Sus scrofa: one gene and its partner. The protein of the gene in region 1 binds, or shares a complex with, the protein of each later gene. Links are inferred from orthologs where the notes say so. Each region holds a gene or a part of one and is shown on either strand. Other genes may lie near its edges. The genes, in order: PDPN and CLEC1B.

The links.
Region 2: the proteins of PDPN (region 1) and CLEC1B are in contact, whole or in part, in a crystal structure (PDB 3WSR), measured with the Homo sapiens proteins. The link is inferred for Sus scrofa from reciprocal best matches to the Homo sapiens genes PDPN and CLEC1B. Residues at the interface, in NP_006465.4 of Homo sapiens: Ala46, Glu47, Asp48, Asp49, Val50; in NP_001380271.1 of Homo sapiens: Arg107, Phe116, Arg118, Arg152, Thr153, His154, Leu155, Arg157.

What each region holds. Positions count from the first base shown.
Region 1 is NC_010448.4:73,046,436-73,050,264, forward strand, and holds the end of PDPN (podoplanin), read left to right. Parts: intron 1-267; coding exon 268-306; intron 307-872; coding exon 873-984; intron 985-1,832; coding exon 1,833-1,839; 3' UTR 1,840-3,565; downstream 3,566-3,829. UniProt on the Homo sapiens protein: Mediates effects on cell migration and adhesion through its different partners.
Region 2 is NC_010447.5:61,889,140-61,891,764, forward strand, and holds the end of CLEC1B (C-type lectin domain family 1 member B), read right to left. Parts: intron 949-2,625; coding exon 804-948; 3' UTR 735-803; downstream 1-734. UniProt on the Homo sapiens protein: C-type lectin-like receptor that functions as a platelet receptor for the lymphatic endothelial marker, PDPN.

The DNA of each region.
Region 1 (3,829 bases):
CTCTAAAACGGGTGAGAAAAAAAAGTAACATCCACAAAAGAACGTAGGTGTGAAGAAGCACTCATAAATTCAATAATAATAGTTTTGAAGACGGGATCGTGTCAGAGCTTGCTTAAAAAAATCCCCTGATCCCATTTATTTCAGAAATTATCCACTTTGCTTGTGTTTTGCTCCCTTCCATTTAGGGTAAATTCATCTTCTGCCAATTGTTAAATTATAGTTATTAAATCCTAATAATTCTATATCATTGCATCTCTCTCTTTATAGATAAAGGAGATGAAGAGAAATCAAAAACAGTTACGAAAGGTGGGTTAGACTTTGGTACCAAGATATTCTTACTGGAGTTTTTTAAAAGAAAGTTTTATTTGAATTTAACCTTTGTGATGAATTATGTTCTCTCCTGGATCATAGTCAACAGGGGCAGAATACAAAACCTAAAGAGAACAAGTTTTCAACCTAAAGAGAGAAAAGGGAATAGCCTGTATTTGAAAAGAAGCAAATCACAAATGAGTCTATTCACTTAATGACAGCTATGGAGAATGGTGTCATACCTTAGCTTATTCCTACCAAGAATGAAAATAGGGGCTAATTTAAAAGCTCTATGTACACAAATGTTACCCAGTAATTAACAGTGAAGCCACCTCGGAGGAGTGGTATGCCTGACAGATCCTGAGACCCAGAAGTCTTTCCATTCGCAAAAATGAGATTAGAATAACCCAGAGTTTCTCCTTTCAGTCAACTCCCACTGGATACAGAAGAGACAGCGTGGAACACCGTTTGCTCCCGACAGTGGGCCGGGGGCTTTGTTTATCGAAGGTGTATTGTTTACCTAGGGTTCATGTTTGTTTTTTTTTTTTCTCCCTCTTATTCAGATGGCTTGGGGACGGTGACCCTAGTTGGAATCACAGTTGGGGTCTTACTAGCCATTGGATTCATTGGTGCAATCATCGTCATGCTTGTGCGAAAAATGTCAGGAAGATACTCGTAAGTAGGGACCTTGCCCTTGTGTGATGGGTAAATGAAGGCAGGCATCTCCACCCTGAAACTATTAGAAGCCTCTACATAAGGGTCGTGTTCAGAAGCCACCAACCTCCTCCGTAAGCACTTCAGCTGAAGTTCCCCCAGAACAGGTGTCTTCTTGGACCTTACAAGTTTCCAAGAAAAGGAAGAACCAGAGAGGCTTCTTTAGTTGACTTCCAATGACACCTGACCAAATTCGACCTCTTGTCTTTATTTGCCAACTAAGTGAACTTGAAAGAAAACCCAAATCAGATTTTAACTTAATACCCCATCACTCCACTCCCAGTCATCAGAGGTAGGTGGTTTTCAGAAAAGCTTACATGGCAGAGCCAGGGCCCCCTTCCAGTGAGGAGTACTACTGGTGATGGGGGTCTGTCCCCTGATTCCTGCCCTGCATGTGCCCACACATGGCAGTGTACTCCTGGCATGGATTGTTACTAAGGGGAAGGAATACTTTTTATTAAAATTCCTTAAGAATTTGGACTATGTGAATTCACAGCCAGAGGAAAACATTTTCTTATCTCTGTTGGGGAAATGGTATATGACTGGGTGGGGAGAGGACAGATGCTGTACAGCTGGAGGTCAAGGGCTATGACTGACCGTTCAGGCGCAGGCTTAGGTAGGTATCTGGAAATGCCTGGGAGTCTGACCCTGGGTGTGAGGACCAGGCCTGGAGGAAGGATGAGCAGGGAGAGAAGAGCCCCAGGATCCAGAACTGAAAGACACAGGACAATAGGGACAATGACTCACGGGAAGTCTAGTCACAGTGCCAGTCAAAGAAATGATAGTCACCTTTCTCTTGGTTTTCCCAGGCCCTGAAGAGCTGAAAGATCATGCCCTCCTGCCAACACGTTTAAAGAAGAAAAAGTTTTCAACCGCCCCCTCCCCCGGCCCTGAGCACGTGGAGAAGATGACCCGTGGAAATGCTTGCCTCCCCCTGCCCCCCGCCCCCCGCCACCCTCAAAATCCATGGCGATCCCTCCACTTGCCAGAAGTAACCGCAGGAAAGAATATTCATAAGACTTGCTCCTCTAAGCATTTGTCTTTTGGGGAGGAAAAAAATTTGTTTTAATAGAAATTTTGCATAAGATGACTTAAAAGACAAACTGCATAGAAAACAGAGCAAAACTACATCATCTGATGTGTAACTCAGTATCATTCAATCTATGTTAGAAAGTGTGATTGTGTCTCTGCTCCACCCATTCTCTCTTGTTGTTACGATGCAAAGGAATTTGGAAATATTTATCCCCATGGCGTCCTTGGGTTAAAAGCTATGTCATTAAGTGGCAAAAGCATTGTACAGTTTCTGGTCTGTTGAAATGTACATGTTCCAGTCTAATTAGATCTGTTTTGAAAGTCTGATTTGGTCTGAATGATATGCCAGTACAGAATCTAAACTTGCATAATATGTAATGAGCAACTGCCTTTCACTGGTCTGGGTAAATCATTTCAAAGGCATCTATTTTAGATCAGACACAGGACGTCTGTACTTGGGGGAAGCCATCCTGTTTCTTGCAGCAAGGGTACCGGACAGGCTCCAGGTGTGCCCTGCTGCCTGCCCCATGAGTGACTTGATAATTCAAAGGTTTCCATCTGCCTGCCCCTTCCACTCCCCTCAGATGGTGGGGATCCAGAGCTAAGGGGGTGACTTTCTTTATTCCCTGTGACGTGAGTCCTCCAGGTCGGCTGCTTTGTTCTGGAATCTAAAGCTCTCAGCCCCAGGTGCCAAAGTGGCTGCAGGAAGCCCAGAGGTACCAGAGCTCAGGTCTTCCAGGAATGAAGAACCACAGTGCTCCCCCAACCCTGTGTGTGGCTCTGAGAAACAGAACCTGCCAATTTACTTTTGGCCTCAGAGGAAAGATCTGGGGATACTAATTTTTGAAAAGCAGCTGGCTTTGGAGACTTGATTTAAAAAGCAAAGACATTCCTGCTTTTCATGATAGCCCACATATTTCTGTGGGGTCACAATTGAAAATGCTATATCGGCACCCCTCCAACTCAGGACCTTTCTCCCCCTAGGTCAACTGAATTCTTTCCCCTCCACGAAAAGTTTTCAGGCAGAGCAGATGCTGTGTCCCTCTTGTGGCAGCGTGGTTCTGATGGCTCTACAGACGTGTGCGGGTTCATAAAACAGGAAAGTTAACTAGCAGTTGGAAAGTACAGCTTATTCCTCCCACCTGTTGCAGTCACGTGGGGATGTTATTTTAAACAGTGTGCCCATGTGTCATTCTGTCCAGCTGGTCTACCAGCCCAGGTTCCATACCTGACCATCCACAGATGGAGAGAAGGGGCTTCGGAGGAGCTTTATGAATCTCTTCAAAATCCTTCCGTTTCATCACTCAGATTCCTGAGCAGGAGTTGGGAATACTGTTCATCTTTCCTATCCTCTCTTCTTTCTCTCACTGTGAAAAATCATAGTCAACCCCAAGTCATACACTGGACCCATCGCCTGCTGGGACAGGACTGTGGGTTTCTTGGTCACATCTGTGTTGGTGCTCAATGCAGTGTAGACGTGTTTGAAAATAAAACAGACGATTGTGTATAAGAATGAGTCAGCCCCTTTGATTGGGAATCTCGATGAAGTCTGGGTCACCCATAAGGACGTCTCCAGTTAAGACTACAAATTATATAAATATTTGCCTCTTGACTTAATTGAGAGTGAATTAGAAACGGTTGTAGGAAGCACATCCATGGGAAAGAAATGCAGCTATACCTTTCACCCAGGGCTTTGCCGAAATGGAGAGGTTAAGGTCAAGCAGAAGCATCAGAGGAGGAGTTCCTGTCATGGCACAGTGGTTAGCGAATCCGA
Region 2 (2,625 bases), on another chromosome or scaffold:
AAGTTTAGTATACATTCCCCTAACTCATGCTGTCTTTCAAACTTAGATGCTTTACATAGTCTCGAATTATATATTTTGCGCAGTTTAAGTTAGTTAAGGCTTAACTTTTCTTTTTTTTCTTTTTTCTTTTCTTTTTTTTTTTTTGTCTTTTTGCCTTTTCTAGGGCTGCGCCCACAGCATATGGAGATTCCCAGGCTAGGGGGTCTAATCCGAGCTGTAGCCCACGGCCTATGCCACAGCCACAGCAATGTGGGATCCAAGCCGTGTCTGCAACCTACACCACAGCCCATGGCAACGCCGGATCCTTAACCTACGGAGCAAGGCCAGGGATTGAACCCACAACCTCATGGTTCCTAGCCAGATTCGTTAACCACTGCGCCAGGACGGGAACTCCAAGGCTTAACTTTTCTTGTTTCAACTTAAAATGTATGCATTTAATTAAAAAGCAAGTCAAGACACAGGCTTCCAATACCTAAAAAAAAATGTGTTTATGTTTGAAGATGCAGTGACTCACTGTATGTTGAAACAATTGTGAATGGAGGACAAGAAGAATGAAAATTAATGGGAAGAGAACAATTAAATAATCAATTCTCTGACTGGCTTCTGGATTATAAAGAAGGCATTAAGTTATTCCTAATTATAAAGAAGGGACTAAAAGGCGTTGGTAGGAAAGGCGAAGTAAAGATAACTCCAAGGGGAATAAAGGGAAAAATAAAGCAATGTTATGGCTGATGAGTCTTTCATCCAGATCTTTTATTATACAATCAAGCACTTGTCTGTGACATCCTGCCCATCTCTTTGCATTAAAGTAGTTGGTCCACCTTTGGCATGCCTGCCTTCCTCTCACACATTAAATAATGTTTATTCTCACAGAAGGTAGGGTGGATTTTTCCATTATGAAAATAAGCACAATTCATATTTTCTGTTCCATTTCCAGAAAACTTAATCCTGTGAATGCAAAAGGTAGAATGATTTCCTTGGAAAGCTAAATAAATAAGCAGCAATCAAACTCTGTGTATAGTACTTTGGTGCACAAAGTGAAGACAAGAAGTATGGGGAAAAACAGTAAAAAACAACACTCAGAACATTGAGGAAATTCCAATTTGCTTGGGAGTATGAAGCATGGACTTTTGAATAGCTCATAGCAATTTATTATAGGATAAGATTAAGCAGAAGTGAACAGTAGGTGCAATAGGAGTTCAGAGGAAAAGATGGGTGGGGATCTGAAATGATGAGAAAGGCTCCATCTTTTTATATGAGATTATACTTTAGTTCTGTTTTGAAGGAAGGACAGAATTTATATCAACAGAGATGAGAGAGACTTGTAGAGCAAGTACCTGCACAGGATGGAAACAAGTTCAGAGAAAAGTAAGCTGATGAAATATTTTTGAAGTGAGGATTTATATTAGAGGATAATGGATATAAGACAGAACATGTACTGTATTTGCTTGTGAACTTGTCTATATTCCCACCTATGTCACTATGACAAGAGGACAAATGATGTATATTTATTAATTCATTTACCAATATCTTTGGGATCCCTACTACCTGCTAAAGTTGTTTTCTGTGCTGATGATAGAGCGGTAAACAAAGACAGGGTCCTTTCTACAAACAACTTACATTATAGTGAGAGAAATGTTGGTAAGAAGGCAACAAATAGAATATTTCAGAGAATTTGGTTAAGAGTTATGAAGAAACAAAACAGTGTGATAGGATAGAGTTAAGTGGATGGGCTGGAGGGAAGCTAATATAGTTTGGGTAATAAAAATTTGTCTCATTGAGGAAGTGATGTTTAAGCAGAGACTGGAGTCACAAGGGGGAACCCACCATGGACTTCTTGAGACAGAGCATTCAGGAAGGAAATAGCAAGTGCAAAAGCCCTAAGACCTTAAAACATGTTTGATTTATTGAAAGAACAGAGGGATCACAGTTTGCCTGCAATGTTGTGAATGAAGCAGCCAGTGATGAGAATAAAGCCTGAGGTCTATAAAGAGGCTTGCTTGTACTTGTGGTAGTCTTGGCGCCTATGCATAGTAGGTAATAAATACCTATTAAATAAATTAATTAAAATTTTAAGTAATGATCAGATTAAGTTTGGTTATCAGTTTAAATTTTAACGGGAGAGACATTGCACAAGATAAACAAAAGGGGATTGGAGATTGGAAAGCCAGTTAAGTAACTCAGAGTAATTGAGCCCTTTGCCTGGACTGTTTGTTGAAGGATAGAGACTGTCAACATGAAAATGAAAATCATCTTGTGAAAGACGTGCCTGATTCTTGGAAACCCCGAGGAAGATAGACGAGGTAAAATGATACTGAAAAGTCAAAAGAACCCTCAAAATAATAACTTTCGACCACAAAATAGTGAGGATGATCATTTTGTTATGAAATTATGTGAAGAGAATCAAATCAAGCTAACACCCCCCCTCCACACCCACCCACCCACCCATCTACCTGCGCACATAAAATATTCCAATGACAAAGGTGAGGGTAGAAAGGAATAGGACAATATCAGGAACAGGGGTGGAGTGTGACTTACATAAAGAACAGAGGAGTGGGAGAGCAGGGAAAATAGAATCTTATTACAGGTGCTGTCTTGTTAGGACTAGGACATGAATCAGCCCCT